2 linked regions of the Yarrowia lipolytica genome follow. The protein of the gene in region 2 interacts with the protein of the main gene of each other region in a biochemical or structural test. Links are inferred from orthologs where the notes say so. Each region holds a gene or a part of one and is shown on either strand. Other genes may lie near its edges.

Region 1 (8,000 bases), about 1.4 Mb from region 2:
GCAGCTTGTAATTGAACATGGGCGGCCGGCCCTCGGCCGTGGGACTGAAGCTCACCTTTTTGTGTTTCTTCCACCCGTCATCCTGCGAGTTGGCTCCATCTCCAAACTGCCACTCCGTGTTGGGCGTGTTTGTGAAGGTGAATCCCGGTCGATCTACGAATGCCGGTCGCTCCTTCTCGAGCTCCTTGAGGCTAGGGTGTCGTGACATGGAAGCGGAAAGTGTGGAAAAGAGTCGAGAAACGATTTGGTGGCGATAAACGATTTGGTGGCGATAAACGATTCGGTGGCCTGGTCGTATAGTCAGTCGAGACATTAGCCTGCTCATCACCAGAGCCTATTATAAACATTTTGGCCGCACAATTAAACTCTGCTTCCCCACCGGTTATCGACAACCGCGTATGGGGGAAAAAATTAAATTAAAATTAAATTAAATTAAATTAAATTAAATTGAATTGAATTGAATTGAATTTAAGAATTGAATTGAATTGGAATTGAATTGAATAAAAATAAAATAAAACAAAAACAAAAGGAGAAAAATGAGGAAAATGCGAGAAAAATAAATAAATAAAAGGATCCCTCATCTCAGGATGGTGATGAGGACTCAGTGGGAACCGTCGCGGTCGTCGGTCATTCAGATTAGTCATCGAGTGGAAATGCAAATGGGAGTCACGTGACTCTCTCCGAACCAACACTGAGTCCATCATTAATTTCTTGCAAGCCTTGTACTCGCACAATACCAGTACATACTACGGTATTAGTACGATGAGCAGAGGCCGGCGGTTGTTGGCTGTTGACTGAGATGTCGAATGACATGTCGGATAACAACTTGTGGCCCCCTGAGTTGGTCATCCAGACTGACTGTCATGTTATGGGTCACGCTGATCTTCTGTTATTCTGGAACAGATATCGACACAATTCGAATCGATCAGACGAGGACTGGCCTGGAGCGGCGAAAAACAGGTCGTATATCAGGAGAGACGCGGAACTGGACATGGGAGAGCGTTGTGAGGCTGATCAGAGGGTACTGGCTGCGACTTGCGCTGGCTGAGTGGTTTGGAATCTCTGGACGCACCTACAACCAATCTTGACAGCCACAAGCCAGAGTAGCTGCAAGTTCTTCTGACTGTGCTTCAGGACTCGTGAGAAGCCATCGCAGGGAGTGTGGGCTGTGAAGCACATCGGCGTATATCCAAGTATGCGACCGACGCATCTAACCAACTGGAGATACCTTCAGGTATAGGTCAATTTTGAAGAAACGGGATTTCCAAAAGTTGGAGCCTTTTCAACTCACCCTGGTATGACTCCAACTTTTAGTAATTCCGTTTCTACATACACCGCTAGTTGCAACAAAAGAGATGTCCGCCAACGTGTCGGGCCAGTCGCAGTTGCACCTTTCGGCAAAAAGATATGGATCTGACGTCCCAACTTACCATCAGATACCGACAGGGTGTGTCCTCGCCTTTTTATCTTGAACTCTGACGATGGCCAGCACCATTCATCCCCATGGACGAGCAGCAAAGGACTTCTCAACGTCTTCTCCGTTCAGACCTACCGCATGGTCAAGAGGGATAGCTGGCTCTGATCGTTGAGGTGTTACGGCAATGGTATGACGAGTTGAATAACTGCTTTCTTCAGTTTATTGGCCAAGACTCAAAGGTAGATGTCTACTAGTGGTACTTGTGCATAACATGACTGATCTGTTGGAATTGTCTTGGATACCGTGAATCGTGCGTTGATACTGTGAATCTTCTTGTCAAGGACAGTCAAATGATACCAATCCATTGATGAGCAGCTGTCAGTACTCGTTTTTGGCCAGAGTACTCTTACATACTTTTGTAGGACTGCAAAGAGCGATTCCATCGCAGAAACTACTACTTGTAAGACAAGTACGAAACTAAGAACCGTTGCGACACTGACAGCCAGCACCATTGGACTATAGAGGGAGCCAGGGTATCAGCCGACTCAGACAAGCCCGACAACCTGAAGACCAAGAGTCCCCAGAGCCGGAGGAGCAAGATGAACCATGTGGAGAAATACGTGCCGAGTCGCCAGCTACACAGTTGTCGAGTCGGAACTTCGAGCGGATACTCCTGAAAGCATTATTCCCAAACAAGACATTTCCTGCTGGCGAACATCACTTCTCGGCTCTTCGGATGCGACAATGTCTGCCGGCAGACCCATACCAGTCAGTATCTGGACTATGGAAGTATGGTCATTAACAGGCTCTGTTCAAAAAGCTCTTGTGGCGATATGGACGGTCGCAGGGTCATCTAGAGTCACAGAAATTCCTACAAGAGCCTTCGGGTCGCGGCCGGTTGCCTCTTCATCCGCACTGTAGTTTTCAATCCATTCACTCTAAAGATACGACAACTAAATATATAGAGAGAAAGAGAAAATGGCCGTAGTTTCGGCGACCAGTGTCCATAGTTTTCGGCGACAAGTGTCCATAGTTTCGGCGACGTGTCCCATAGTTTTTCGGCGACAGGTGACCTGTTCGAGGTACCATCGTAGCCAGTGAGGATCTCGGAACTTGCCACAGTAGACAGAGACAACCTGCTCCAGTCACTGTCGTATTCGCCTCTACTTAGTGTCAGTTGTGTATGTCACGTCATCTAAATCCGAGTCATCGCTGACTTCGGATCACTCATCCTTCATGATTCATCAATGCATTCTGTTATGTCGCTTTCTCAGCACGTTGAAGATACGCACATACTATCGGGCGAGACTACAAGTGTACCCGAAAGACAGACACCTCCAGCTACGCGGTCAGCATCTGTCTACAGTCTCATGACACTCTCCCTCCCCACATTATGTATCTCAGAGCATGACAGTCGCATTCGAGGGCCGCTCTGGAGCGGCTTGAAGAACGTCTCTGCCGCCCACTCGTACCACACGACCTTTCCGTCGGTCTTTCGCCAGAAGCAAAGGTCAGCTTCAGAATGATCGGGCACGTTCATCGGAGTCTTCAACGGAAACCAAATGGGGAACCACGACAACATGTCTGGAGACTTGTGTCTGGTATGCGGAACAGTAGACAGGGACACGTCCTGGAAGAGAACAGCCTCAAAGTAGCCAGCAATTCCATGCACACATGCCTTGGCTGGGATCTCGAACGATGTCTTCGAGAAACGCGTATTGTGGATATTTTCTTTGCTGAACGCAGCAGGGTTTCCGGGGTGTGCAAACGACCACAGAGGTTTGGCTTGTGCCAAAATATCCACCTGCTTGAGCATAACCACGTAGGGGGTATTGAAAGAGTTATTGGGCGAACTCGTAGTGCCTCCAGATCCCTGTTGAGGGCCCTGGGCGGGTGTGGGACCACCAGAGAGCACAGAGTTGTACAGTTTCGGAGACAATGCTGGAGCAGCAAATGCAGTGTATGACTGAGGGATCATTATGCCTCTGGTGGGATGCAAGAGTCTCTGGATGGGATCGAGGGACTCGGGAGAGAGTTCATTGTCTCCAAACGAGCCAAGAAGCTCCGAAATGATGAGGTCAAAGAATTGCTCGGACCGGCTTTCGTAGGTGCGCATGTCGGACATGATCACTTCCACACGGTGACCCTGGGCGTTCCAGACGTCGTTGTTGCGTTGCATGAGCTGAACATAGGCTGCAGGGTTCTTCTCCACTGCTACAATCTTCACCTGCGTCTTTGTAGTCGTGGCAGCAGCAATAGTACGGTCGACCAGGGGACCTCTTCCGGCACCAGCCACACAAACCATAAAAGTGCCTGTTGCGCTCTTCTTTTCTCGCACAAGATGTACTAGGGCCTTCCCTATCGCCTCCTCGTACAGCGTGTATTTGACTGGGTCCTGTTCAAACGCCTCGTATGTGCCATTTTCGAGATTGTCTGCGAGAGGTTGCAGAGGCGCCTGCAGAAAGTCGTGGTATCCGTCTGAGAACTTTTCGAGTGCCGACGGACTCGGTCGACGCGCGTAAATATATCTCAGGTATATGAGAAAGGCCTGTTCCCCTCCTCGGAACTTTTCAGCTGCCATCGCGTCTTCCTGGAGCAAAGTCAGAGGTTTGAGCTTGAGACATCGTAGCAAAAGTTGTTGTAGCGACTTACTGAACACTGGGTAGCCCTTGGGGTTGGGAATAAAGGAGCCTGCTGACACGCAGACGAAAGAGATGGGTTCTGCCATCCATCTATCTATCACGTGTAGCGGAGGTAGAGCTCTGGGGAGCTGTAGAGCCACCGATAAGGATGACGGATAGCCGGCCATGGTGCGCACTGAGTGCCAGACTTCCCATATGGATAGTGGATCTGACATCTGCGACGGTTTTCGAGCATGTCCGCCTAGATGGGGGCTACTCTGGGTTGCGTCAGCCTCGGCAAATGGCAGATGAATGGCCACCTGGATGCAGGGAGAGTGTCTGAGGGCGGCTGCGACGGCATGGGCGTAGGTGGCCACGTTTTTGCGGCTCTTGGGGCCCGGAATGATGGCAAAGGCCACTCCACAGTAGGAGGCGTAGGCCAGCTCATGCTTGAGCACCTGGAGAGACATTGCGGCGGTGGCTTCGTTTTTGGCGTCCAGCTCGATCCATGCGCTGGCCAGAACCACCGTCGAGTGTACATGCGAGCCTCCCGGCATGATGGTCACATCGTCCAGAGACGGGGGAGGCACAGTCAGCTGTCCGGCAGTGATGCTCTGCTCCACCTTGGTTCGGTAATGGGTGTTGGTGATGGTGGCGGTGATCATGTCGTAGCCCTGCTCCAGCGCACAGTCGACAATGAGCTGCGACGAGTGGCCGTCGGCACTGGGCATGTTGATTCCAATGAAGCATGGTTCGGGCTGATCAGGCGCCTCCGAATCAGGAGTGGTGTCAGCTCCACTGGCTCCAGACCCGCCGCTCTGGGCCACGTCCGGCGACGACATCCCCCCTCCTCCTCTGCTGGCGGTCGAAAAAACACTGCTGGCGGCGCTAGCTTTTCGTTCCATCGTAGATCGCGCGTGTAAAAGCAGTATAGGACACTGTCTTTTCAAAAGCCCCTGAATTTTGGACTCAAATCTTAGTGCAGCCTGTACAGGTGGTGAGGTGCATCCAGAGGGTTGCCCGGGAGACGACCCCGCATGATCGGCACCGGATGGAGATTTGCACGCGTGAAGTTCGTGTTTGTGGGGGAATACAAGACGGCCGTTGTGGCTTGGACCGTGTTTTCGAAGATGGGGCTGAAAAAAGAGTGGATCTGGGCTTTGGCCGGGTTGATTAGTCATCATATAGAGTTGATATTAGTGAGGCGGTGGTGGAGTTTATTTTGGTTGCCGCACTAGTGCAATTTGTGTAAACAGATGGGGTTATAATGATAATAATAATGATATTTGGGGGGTTACAGGTAGTTGTATTTTGGGGGTTATTTGTGGATTTTTCTTTGATTTTTCTTTGATTTTCCTTGTTTGTTGTGACTCGTTATTACTTGATGACTTTGGATTTTTATTTGGATTTTTATGGATTTTCCTTGTTTGTTATTGTTACTCGTTATTACTTGATGACTTTGGATTTATATTTGGATTTTACTTACAATTACTCGAAAATCACCAGAAAATTACCCGAAAATTACTCGAAATTACTTGCAATTTACTTGGATTTTTATTTGGATTTTACTTACAATTACTCGAAATTACTCAAAAAACTTGCAATCAACTCTGGCGAATGACAAAAATGATATTAAATAGGCAGCGAAACAACATCTAAAGCCCTGATACTGATACCACCACCATGGATACTACTCCTAATCACCCTAGATGGCAGACTGCATCTGCATCTGCACTGCCCCTCCACCTTCTGGAATCTTCTCGACGAAATAGACCCAAAAGTCGATCTCAAAATTGAGCAGAAAATAACATAGCAAATGTCGACGAATCTCGGATACGGCATAGCGTCGGAACAATTTATCCGCCCATCGGGAAAGGCCGATCGGTTCTGTATGACCAGGTCACGTGAAGCACTGCCACCGTCACTTTGCCACCCTGTCGCCACCCACTGAAACGGCAACACAGCCGTGATTGGTCATACCCTGGAGTGGAACCGCAAGATCACGAGATGGTGGACAGCGTTTATCATCGCCCATCGGCTTTGTCAGAGGAGTGCTAAAATTAGCCCTGCCATAATTATGCCAGTGTCTTGTGAGGTCATTGCATGTGCATGAACTCTGATGGGCTCGATGTAGGCAACTAATTGAGATGGAAAAGCCGATTTTTTCAAGCTTGACACTTGATTTCTTCCCCAGCTCTTCTTCAACTCCTCAAAAAGCCTCCCGTCGCCCTCCCCATGTCCTTTGTAATGCCCGACTATGCCGAAACAGACCTGGCCCACTCGCCACCAGCTACTCCTCTCCCACACTCCCATACTGACCCATTCGCGCCACCAGTCGACATCTACGACCTGGGAAACATGTACATTGTGGTGACAAGTCTGCCGGCGGTGCGGTCGGCGGACCTGGAAACCGCCTACGACGCAGACTCCAACAGCCTGACCATCAGTGGCCACTACACCAACCCCTTTGCACATCTGTCCGACTGTCTCATGGTGGGAGAACGACACAACGGCTCCTTCCAGAGAACGGTGCGGTTTCCGCCAACGGTCAAAATCGACCCGCAAAAGGTCAAAATGCACATGGCCAACGGGATTCTTGAAATGCACTTGATGAAACAGCGGGACGCACTCAAGTGAACCGCTCGACAACCTCCCCTGCATCACCCAACACTCACCATCCCTAACTGTATACTAGCATTCTGAATTAATATCTTCCTCTTTGATTGTTCCTTAGGCATATCAGCGGGGATCCCGTATCGTAGTTACAACCATCAACACTTTTTGGTAAGTGTACCATTCTATACTCCAACTGGTCTGCAACTGTACAAGTATCTACAGCAGAACCTATGGTAAAGACATTGCATTTTTACAGGAAGTATCGTCCTACACGTTGATAAATCCAAAGATGCGGAACTTCTTCCACTTTTATCATCATCCCCTACTCGTACACTCGTACTCTTTGTTCGATCGCGATTCATTTCTATAAATAATCTTGTATGTACATTTACTCGGCAACAACCAGAGAAGCGGCACCCATACCGGTACCAATGCACATGGAGGTGACACCGACCTTCTTGCCAGACTCCTTAAGCTCGGAGAGCAGAGTGGCAAACTGTCGAGCACCGGTGGCTCCCAGAGGGTGGCCAATAGCAATGGCACCACCTCGGGGGTTGACCTTGGACTCGTCGATTCCACAATGCTGGATGGAGAACAGAGCCTGGGAAGCGAAAGCCTCGTTGATCTCGAAAACGTCAACGTCGTTGACGGTCAGACCAAGGTCCTCAAGGACAGCAGGAATGGCGTAAGCGGGGCCAATTCCCATGAGCTCGGGGGGAACACCGACGGTCTTGCAGTGGACAAACTTGGCAAGGATGGGCTGGCCAAGCTTCTCGGCAACAGATCGTCGCATGAGGAGAACGGCTCCGGCACCGTCGGAGATCTGAGAGGCGTTACCAGCGTGGGTGGTTCCCTCGGCGGAGAAAGCAGGCTTGAGCTTGCCGAGCTTCTCGGCGGTGACACCAGGTCGGATACCGTCGTCCTTGTTGACGGTAACCTCCTTCTCGTTGTCATCATCATCGAGAACAGTGGTCTTGATGGGGAGGATCTCCTGGTCGAACTTGCCGGCGGCCTGGGCAGCGGCGGCCTTCTCGTAGGACTTGGCAGCAAAGGCGTCCTGGGCCTTTCGGGACACGTTGTACTTGGCGGCAACGTTCTCGGAAGTGATACCCATGGGGATCAGGCACTTCTTAGCCTCCTCGTTGTTCTGGAACTTGTTGGAGAAGGGGGTGACGGAGTTGGGACCGTACTGGTTGGACATGGACTCGACACCACAGCCGATACCAATGTCAATCTGGCCGGCTCGGATCTTGTTGGCAACGTCGTTGACGGCCATCAGACCAGAGGAGCACTGTCGGTTGAGAGCGACGAAGGGAACGGTCTCGGGGATGCCGGCAACAAGGCAG
Region 2 (10,413 bases):
TACCCTTACCACCAGCGACGTCTGCTCCCCCTCATGGCCCAGACATATGCCATCAAGTGCACCGCCGATAAGGTCAGAGATCAGTTCGTCAAGGTCACCGACATGCTCCTAAACCTCGATGTTTCTGACCAAGAGGCCGTGCCCAAGGCCATTGCCGAGGCTAAGGAGCTCTTCTCTGTTTCTGCTGGTGTCAAGGCTACCACAACTTGGGCTTGCGCACACACCATTGACCAGTGCAGACAGGCGTGTGGAGGCCACGGATACTCTGCTTACAACGGTTTTGGACGTGCTTACTCCGATTGGGTGATCCAGTGCACCTGGGAGGGAGACAATAACATTCTGTGTCTGTCAGCTGGCAGAGCTCTGGTCCAGTCTAACCGAGCTGTCCGGGCTGGCAAGCCCATTGGAGGTCCTACCGCCTACCTGGCTGCTCCCGCTGGTTCCCCCAAGCTCGCTGGTCGAAACTTGTACGACCCCAAGGTCATGATTGGGGCCTGGGAGACTGTTTCCCGAGCTCTGATCAACCGAACCACCGATGAGTTTGAGGTGCTGGCCAAGAAGGGTCTGTCTACTGCCCAGGCCTACGAGGAGCTGTCCCAGCAACGATTCCTGTGTACTCGAATCCACACCCGTCTGTACATGGTCAAGAACTTCTACGAGCGAATTGCCGAGGAGGGCACCGAGTTCACCAAGGAGCCTCTTACCAGACTTGCCAACCTGTACGCCTTCTGGTCCGTCGAAGAGGAGGCTGGAATCTTCCTCCGAGAGGGCTACATCACTCCCCAGGAGCTCAAGTACATCAGTGCCGAGATCCGAAAGCAGCTCTTGGAGGTGCGAAAGGACGTCATTGGCTACACCGATGCCTTCAACGTGCCTGATTTTTTCCTCAACTCTGCCATTGGACGAGCTGACGGAGATGTCTACAAGAACTACTTCAAGGTGGTCAACACTCAGAACCCTCCCCAAGACCCTCGACCTCCTTATTACGAGTCTGTCATTAGACCCTTCCTGTTCCGAAAGGACGAGGATGAGGAAATTTGCTCTCTTGAGGATGAGTAGATGGATTGAAGGATATATTGTTACTAATGAACTGTTTTATTTATGTCGTATGAACTAGCAGACGTTTAGTGTATGTTACTTGGTAGTTAGCATCGTAGACACAACAACTGCTTCTACTGCACTACAAGCACTCATAGTGCGATGGGTCATTTCGAATGGACAGTTAATCAAATGATATGTATTGTACAGTAGGAGTACAGTAGTAAGTATAAGTAAGGAATTGACCAATACTTGGATGCTCAGATGCTCACTTTTGCATGGAGGTTAGTAGACATACACCACAGCTGCACTTCGTTGACTCCTCTGAACTCAAATTTTTTTTTCTCCACACATCAAATTATTCACCATGAACCACTACACTATATTGGGACTATCTGAGCCTCCTCACGTGCCTGAGCTGACTTCAGCGGATCTCAAAACTGCATACAAACAGGCATTGCTGAAAAACCACCCCGACAAGCTCCAGGAGAGAGAGGCATATACTGGATCTGTTCAGATCACAGCCATCACGACAGCCTACGCATGTTTGAGCAACTCCAAGCTAAAAAAGGAGTATGATTTGAGTCTGAAGAATGGCGCAAATGGCGTTAAAAGCGGCCCTGGTAGTGACGTGTTTGATTTGACAGAATTGGAGGAGAGGGAAGACGCAGATGGCATGTTTTCATGGTACAAGCCATGTCGATGTGGAGAGGCAGGAGGCTACGTTTTGACCGAAGAACATTTGGAGAATAACGAAAAGTACTACGAGGGTGTCGATGTCCAGTTTCACGAGATTGTCGTGCAATGTGGAACCTGCAGTTTGTGGATCACTGTGCAGTACGGTGTTGAGGAGGAGTAATGAAAGAAGGACACCGACACAAAATTAGCGGAGTGACCTGAGTGCCAGCATCAGTGACTTTTCGACCAAGCTTTGAGACAGGCCATGGACTGGCAAGCACAACAAGGCGCAGATGCTTACAGTATATGTCGGCTACCGAGGGTCTACGCAGAACAGTCCTTCCATGCTCGTGGACTGGATATCTCAGAAGTGAGCCTTCAAAGTCCTTGTGTTAACTCTTCCCCTGCTGTTACACTCGAATCATGCTACAGTATTGGCTATTACGGACATGGGGCAGTCTTTCAAGACATTACCGTGCATGGTAGTTTGATTGTATCCAACACGGAAGGCGGCATGAACAAACCAGCATCACAGAGCATATTTGTTTTATAGAATCATTCCTGAATATGCCGTCATTTCTTATATATATCGTACTTAATGACAAATACAATTTGTAGTACACACTGTATGCTTCTTTCTCATGTGCCGTTCTATCAACAAGGAGCAGATTTGTGCTATGCCAGTCAAGAAGAGGTCAGTACTGCTACTCCTACAAGTACAATGTACCGTACACATACACGTCATCATTATATTATTATATTATCATTCATTAAATAAAATTAATTAGCTATATTAGTTACGTTTAGTTATTAATGAGCAGACCTTGAGAAACAAGGTGCGCCTTGATCTGGTCATAGAGCTGAGTAAACGAGCCCTGCGAGCCTCGATCGTGGAAAAAGTGAGCAAAACTATTGGTGTGTTTGAGGGGACCAATGTCGATATGCAATTTTGCCGATTTGATTTTCAGAGCATTTCGCGAGCTGATCTGACACTTAATGGAAGAGTGTGACACAGACAGATTGGAAATACCATACTTGCGCCACGATGCAAGCAGAGCCACAATCTCGTCTTCCAGCTGCTGGCTGGTGAGAGTGGAGTAGAGGGTTTGAGGAGGTTGCCGGGGGGCGACGTTGGGTCGCGAGAACATCTTCATGAACCACGATTGAGTGACGTTCCAAGGGTCGCCAGTAGCAGGAGCAGTACCGGACGTGTGAGCTGCATGAGCTGCTGCATGAGCTGCAGGTGCAGCTGGATCTTTCTGTGCATTCATGTGGGCGTTGGCATTCACACCAGGAGCAGCACCATAGTCGCTAGATTGGATCATGGTCACCTTAGAAGTGGGAGCAACTGGAGCCTCACGCTTGGGTGCAAATCCAAACCGTCGGATGAATGACTTCGTTCGGCTGGACTTTGACTGGGGTGGCTGAGTCTGCACAGGAGCAGGAATGGTAAACTGCGAGTTGTTCTGCTGCTGCTGGTGCATAGGAAGAACCATGGTGTCGGCCACACTCTGCACGGGGGGAGCAGGTGCAGGCCGTCGTGGAGCAGACACCACAGGCTTCTCTCGGAAGACAGGTGCGGGCTGCAACTGATGCTGAGTCTGCTGCTGCTGCTGATGATGATGCTGCTGCTGCTGTTGCGGTTGCTGTTTCTGTAGAACCTCAACAGGTCGTCGTTCGTGCAGTTCAGCAGCTGCCTGCAACTGTCTAACAGGCTTGGCGGCCTCTCGAGGGGAAGCAGCATGGGTATTCATATCACGAGACACGAGAGGACGTCGCTGGGAAGCAGAAGTCGTCTGTCGCGATAGGTTGCTCTGGCTGAGATGACCGTTGAGGTTGATGGACGAAGGTCGCTTCATGAAGTTGTCTGTCTGCATCTGGCCCGAGATCTTCATCTTGGACTGGGTTCGAGGCATAGACTCCACGGCAGTCTCATCTCGGTCCACAACAGGGATTTCGGGGAATTGAAGATCCTTGTAAAGCTCTGTGGACTCCCGACCAACATGGGTAGCAGCAGGAGCCACAGGAGTGGCCTCATTGGCATTGTCTCGGTGGAAAGAAATGTCCAGCAGAGAGTCCTCGCCCACAACAACCTGGTCCCCTCGCTCAGTGAAATCAAACAGGTTCTCCCACTCACTCGACTTTCGATCGCCCCCAAGCATAGGAGTTGTGTGGTTCGTGGAGGGGGCAGAAAGAGTGTTGTCGGAAATGTTGAGATGGAACTCCTCCTCGATGGCATCTGCGAACCGGTCGCCCTCCTCGAAAATCATGGGCAGGTAGTTGGGGGTATCAGAATGAGCGTTGGCCACACGCTCTCGCGAGTGGGTGTGAGTGTGAGAAATGGTTTGAGCGCGAGATACGCTGGGCTGCTGGGCACGGCCAGTGTCTCCTCCTACCTCTCGAGGATCAAACAATGACATGGGCCGTTCGAACTCAAACTCATCGTTGTATGCCATGGTTACTGCTCGCTTGGATGTGTTCGCAGCGGTTGCGCCAGCTGCGGTTCGAGAGGCGATGGACGTGTTAGCAGGGTCAGTCACATGGCGTCGAGCGTCAACGGGAGAACCAAGCAGACTGCCGTAGCTCTTCTTCGTCTTGACGGGCTTGTTGAAGGCAGAGTCAAGGAAGGCTTCAAAGTCGGCATCCTTGCTGGCAGGAGGCGACCGTGTAAGCCACGAGGGAGCTGACGAGATGGGAGCCCGTCGTGATGTTGGCGGCTGTTGATGGACAGGCTGTGATTGTCGTGGTGGTGACTGAACCGCTTGTGTTGGTGCCAGTGGCTGTGCTGGTGCTCTAGTGGCTGTGGATGTAGCGGCTGCGGTTGTAGGAGCTGCGGGTGCAGTAGCAGGTGCCTCTGTGTAAGGAACGTTGACGTTGAAAGGAATGGGTGCAGTACCAGCCGAAACAGGTGCGGAGGCAGTCTGTTTTCTAGGAGAAGCGACGACGGAGTTGCTGGCACTTCCTCGCATGCTTCGGATGCTCTGCTGAGATCGCTTCTTGACATGGGTGAAAGAAACACCTCGCTTGTGGGCCGAAGAAACAGACACCAGCGAACCCCGAGAGCCAAGTCGATGGCTGTTGTGGCTTGTCTTGCGCTTGTGTTGCTTGCGAGACGAGTGGCTATGGGACTTGTGCATGGCAGGCTGCATCTCCTGGCTCTGTTGCTGTTGCAACGTGGGAGGAGCAGTGGCAGCCACAGCGGCAGCATGATCATGTCGGTACTTCATCAGCAGACAGTAAAAGGTCTTCTCCGGGTTAGCATCGGGAGACAGCAGCTTCTGCATGATGATCTCGGCGTCTTCGCCGTGCCACAGAATCTGTAGGTTCTTGAGAATCTCTATATCAATGTCCTGCACCGAAGCCACAGGACGGGCCACATGCTCGTAAGAAGGAGCATGGATGTGAGTGGGTGTCACACCTCCGCTGTACTTGCGCACGAAGGGATGCTGGAAGATCTCGTCCATGGTGATTCGAGTGGTAGGATCTGTTCGTAGCATTCGCCAAATGAGATCCTTGGCGTATGGACTCAGCTCTGACGGCATATTGAACTTGCCGGTCTGCACCTTGAGCAGCAATCTTCGAATGTTGTCATCGTCAAAAGGCAGATGACCGGTCAGAAGCGCGAAAAGAATGATACCGCACGACCAGATATCCGAGGGGGCTCCGTGATATGTCTTACCGGCGACAATTTCGGGAGAGGCGTAGTGAGGCGATCCACAACTGGTTTCCAGCATCCGGTCTGTCTCCAGAGCGGCCATTCCAAAGTCGGCAATCTTGATGTTGCGGTTCTTGTCTAGCAGCAGGTTCTCGGGCTTGAGATCTCGGTGGCAAATGTTGAATCTGTGGCAGTAGTCGACTCCATTGATGATTTGCAAAAAGTACGAGGCGGCCTCATATTCCTCCAGGCGGCCCTTTTTGATGAGGTAATCAAACAGCTCGCCGCCCTCAATGTATTCCAAAACGAGATATCTGGGTTAGTATGGGTATAATGGTTGGCCGTTGTCCTGGTAACGGGCCTCAAGCGACCGCTGCGACAATTCCATGTTGAGTATACGTCGCGCACATCCACGCTGTGTATAGTTGGCCTGCATGGACACAGGGATGCAGCGTATACAGCATGTACAGTGTAGCACTGCCTGGGAGCGGTGTGGTGGTGGTGGTGGTGGTTGGAGACTCAGAAATAAAATAGGAAATGAGATACAGCTTCAAACACTGGTCTCCGCAAAGATAAGGCTGTATGTCCCGAATAATAAACCACGAAATGGCAAGCGGTAAACAAACACAACAAGCGAGTGAAGAGAACATTGATATATGCCATAGAAGCACCAAAACTAGTTGGAGGCTTACAGAGTTAAATCAAAGATCCACAAGCATGCGTCTTTCTCGAATTGCTGAGTCTCTTAGTGTCCTGATGTGCTCAGTGTACCGTGCTTGTGTGAACCACGCCCAGTGCCCTGTAAATGTACCGTTCGGGGCATTCATCTGACTATTAAAGGGGGGTATGTCAATGAGTGATTGAAGGGAAAGACGGACTTGAAAGTCATGTGCCAGTCCAGGAACTGCGTCTGGGACTATCTGAGCCATGTGACAGTGTGGAGACGCGTTTAGTCAAATTAGAGAGACGACTGAGAGCTGTAGGAGATATACTTCGGCTGTAACACCTTACTTGTCATCTTTGATGTCTCTAAAACACCTCTCAGTGTACCAAAAGCTCGCCTCACCATCAAAACGCGTCAAAATAGTCTCGTTGTTCCACAACATCACCACCCACCCTGTGATTTCACCACCATACACTCCACACCAATAGGTAATTTTCACGCTTCTTCAATACTCACAATTCTCCCTTGTTCTCCCACACATCGTACAGTGCCATCACATTGGCATGTTCAATCAATTTCATGATGATCACCTCCCGCTCAATACCGTAAGGTAGCCCCGTGGCGCCATGCTCCTCTCCGTTGGCCGCATTGACGGCGTCGGCCACCACTGCCTTGGGTACAATCTTCACGGCCGCAAGCTGGCCGGTGTGCGAGTGTCGTGCTAGTCGGACACGTCCCGAGGAGCCTCGTCCAAGGGTTCGGCCCAGTCGCCAAGGACCAATGTGCGTTTTTGTCTTCTTGTTGGACGACGTCGATGTCTGGGACAACCGTTTTGTCGTGGGGTCTGTGGTTGTCTGGCCCGGTGTCTGTGTCTGTGTGTTCTGTGTGTTCTGTGTGTTTTGTGCCTGAGCGTTGTAGTTGTAGTTCTGCTGGGCCTCATACTGTTGCTGTATTTGTTGCACCATGGGGTCGGTGGGGTATGCCCGCGAGGCTGCTGCAACAGCTGCTGGGTTGTGCATTGTCGCTTGTGTGTCGGTGGTAGAGGAACGACTGTGTCAGAAACCAACAATCTATCTCCACGAAGGTGTAGCACCAACGATACACTCGGCCTGCATGGTGCATTGTTTGCAAGAGTTTGCCCATTGTAGAGTTTCTTTGGAATGATGTGGGTTGAAAAATGGTGGTATTGTGGCTTACAACTGAGAGCAAAAAAATCCGAAAAAACACGGATAATTCGAACGGCATTTTTCTCTTTTTTTTCATATATATTTCTCTATTTCATCACCACCCCATCAACCCCCACAACCACATTCCACACGCGAAGAATGCACAAACAAAGTTGATGCGCGGCTGAGCATCCTAACAAACAATACATGTGGATTGAGGGAAATATGTAGAGAAAAATGTGGATTTTCGGGCCGTGGACGAATTGGACGGTTCATGACATTTGTTGGCGAATTATTCAAGGCCCAAATATTGCTTTTCCGTCACTTTAGCTCAACTCTACAGTACCGAAAAGAGCCTCATCATGGCCTAATCTGATGGCTCACATTCCAAGCCGTTTTGGGATACGCGACACGCGAGTCAAGGGTCATTTTTGTGCTGAAACCCTTACCCACAAGCAGCAAGACGGAGATCTGCAACCTTGTCGCCGGTCACGTGATGTCCACAATGGTTGTCATGGAGACCATTGTGGGATATATTCACAGTTGTACGGCTTGAGTGATACACTTTGAATGTTGTCCACGTGGTACAGTCGAGGTGTCGAGCGGTTAGTTGACTGTATTTGCACAGGGTATTTGCATTTTACAGCCGTAATAATATCAGCTACAAGTAGCCAATTATTGTAGGATTATTGTAGGAGTGGTCTTACACGTTACATACTGTAACATGAATTTGACCAGATGCAAGGGTGCAGTGGAATCTTGGGTTGGAGGTACAAGTACAAGTGGAGGGAAACGGAGACGGAGCGGTGGTATATTGGGTGGTTGTCAGGATATAATGTGTTGATACACAGAAGAACTGGCCTTGTTGGGAAATTTGCACTTGTACTTGTACTTGTACATTCATTTCCGCGTTTTATTATTCGACCGTGTCATCCCCATCTCTTCTGTTTTGATGTATACTTGTACATGGTGGGCCGAATTAGTATGTATAAAAACATGCCCTAAAAATACACCTTTTACTGTGGGCCACACTGACGGGACAATGGCAATGACAGCTCTCGAAACGCTCAAAGTTGACCCAAAATAGCCGTGTTTGGTGCCAGAACAAAGGTACGAGTGGAGCCAATCCGGTGCAACCACCAGCCAGTAGCGGAATGCGTCATTATCCTCTGAGCTGGAGTGGGAACGTGAATTTGTATGCGACACAACAATGGTGAAGTCGACTACGAGTAGTGACTTCTGCACAAGAACCCACCACTACTGAATACGATACAGTACGATTACGGTAAGAGTACAAGACAGTTACTACTGATACAAGTACGTATGTACATACTGTACAACAACAATTCAACACCTTCTGAAGAGTGATTCAGCTCGTATACTCTGGATACACGTGAAAGAGCGCCTGAACATTCATCTCAGTGCCGATCTCTGATAGACAGCATGGTTAATAATAATAATCTGCAGTGGGGAGCAGTTCAACAGTAGCTCCTCGTAGCTGTACACTTGTATCGTAAAAACTGTATCGCAGCTAATTCGACGTAATTTCCCGCCTGCCAAGCCAATATCGGAGCTTCCTTGACTACAAGTAGCCATTTATCGCTCTTATCATATATAAATGGGTCTCCGCCACACGACGAGTAGTGGACAGAAAGATAAGTAGCCACCCAAGCCCTCCATAGGGCGACATTCGGTAGCACTGGTAGCGCACTTTCCCGGAAATGACGTAATGCGCTGGGAAGAGACTCTGCGGCACATCACGTGACTGCGTTTATCCCGCAGGGGGTTCACGTGGACAGCTCCATTAACCATGGGCGACAGCCGGGCTATTTATACCGGTGGCATAAATCATGGTGAGGCATTACTCATGGCGGAGGCTATGTCTTTTTTTGGGGGGTGATGCAGCCCCCCTGCGGCAGCTGACACGTTGTGTTGCGTGTGAGAGTATTCCCGGCGGTGTTGCTGCAGCATGGTTCCGCAGCTGACTCTGCAACACGTTACTTGTAGTTAAACGTGGACTAAACTAGCTCATCAACACCTGATAGACAACCATACACGACCCACAATGTCTACGTGGAAAAGTGAGTGTTTGCGGACGCGGCCGGAATGGTCATGGCAGACGTGACGTGTTCTCGGCGGCTATTTTGGGCCCGGTATTGTCTCCCCACAGTGACTGGATCAGGGGGTGTGGGGATACACGGGCATGGCCGTGGTGATATTGGTTGTGACAAGAAAATGTGGTGGGAGAGATGAGAACGGACAGAAAGGTCGCAGGAACGACGCTGGTCGTGCTGCTGCTATTGTCGCTGCTGTCTCAGTTGTTTGCCGAGGCTGTCGTCCGTTACCGTTGCTCACGGCGATGTCGTGGTGTGTTTCAACTTGTGGAGTTGATTTGTACAGCCAATGACACCCAAGTTGTCAAGTCACACGAGAATCTGCACACACTGCGTCAACAGTGTTGCGATATAATACAACGAGCACGCAACCACACCCCTCTCATATCCCTCTTGCCCACGATCCGGGGCTGCGTGTCTTGGCAGTACTTCACGCACGGCGCAATTTAGGGGTTAACAGCATTTCTTATCGGGGCCTTACAAAGCAGACTTACTAACACAGAAATCAAAGAAGGCCACCTGTCAGCCTTCTCCTCAAGGCCGTCGTCTAACTCCACGGCCACCATAAAGGAGTCGCCCACTAACACCAAACGAGACACCCTCAGCTTACCGTCCGTGTCCACCAACGCTCCTGGCGGATATGAGAAGCTGACCCCCACAAGCTCCACCAGCAGCAAGGCACCCAGCGGAGAGTGGTCGCGAGAGTCCACACACAGTTACACCCCACGAGACTCACGAGACTCACGAGACACTGCCTCTTCCGCCACCTCCACTTCGTGTGCCACTCCTGCTGCTCCTCCGGCCCCTCACCTGTCACACTCCTTCAAGCCCGGCCTGTTGACAGTCAACATTGTCGAAACCAAGGGCTTGTCGCTGCCTCCCAGCTATGCCAAGTATGCGAGCCTGTTTGCACCTGAAAAACAGCTGGTTAAGGATTCCAACACAATGTCTTCTGCCCGACGAATGACTCCTCCCCCAGTGTACCTGGTGTTGGAGTTTGACAAGACGCAGCTGGTGCTGGAGGCCACAGGAGGAACGCTGGAGAACCCCATCTGGAAGGCCCAGTCGTCGTTCGACGTGTCGCGTCCGGAGCCCCTG

Evidence for each region. The genes of interacting proteins can lie anywhere in the genome.
Region 1: of the proteins of YALI1_E07818g (region 2) and YALI1_E22207g, one has a biochemical effect on the other in vitro, tested with the Saccharomyces cerevisiae proteins (2 studies listed by BioGRID, with this or other methods). The link is inferred for Yarrowia lipolytica from reciprocal best matches to the Saccharomyces cerevisiae genes HSL1 and HSL7.

The regions. Positions count from the first base shown.
Region 1 is NC_090774.1:2,215,550-2,223,549, forward strand, and holds YALI1_E22207g (uncharacterized protein), read right to left. Parts: upstream 5,223-8,000; coding exon 2,778-5,222; downstream 1-2,777. Other genes in the region: YALI1_E22159g (uncharacterized protein), read right to left, coding at 1-325; YALI1_E22218g (uncharacterized protein), read left to right, coding at 6,274-6,675; YALI1_E22238g (uncharacterized protein), read right to left, coding at 7,043-8,000.
Region 2 is NC_090774.1:778,461-788,873, reverse strand, and holds YALI1_E07818g (uncharacterized protein), read right to left. Parts: upstream 7,055-10,413; coding exon 6,552-7,054; intron 5,686-6,551; coding exon 2,520-5,685; downstream 1-2,519. Other genes in the region: YALI1_E07899g (uncharacterized protein), read left to right, coding at 1-1,059; YALI1_E07874g (uncharacterized protein), read left to right, coding at 1,406-1,897; YALI1_E07790g (uncharacterized protein), read left to right, coding at 9,267-9,282, 9,818-10,413.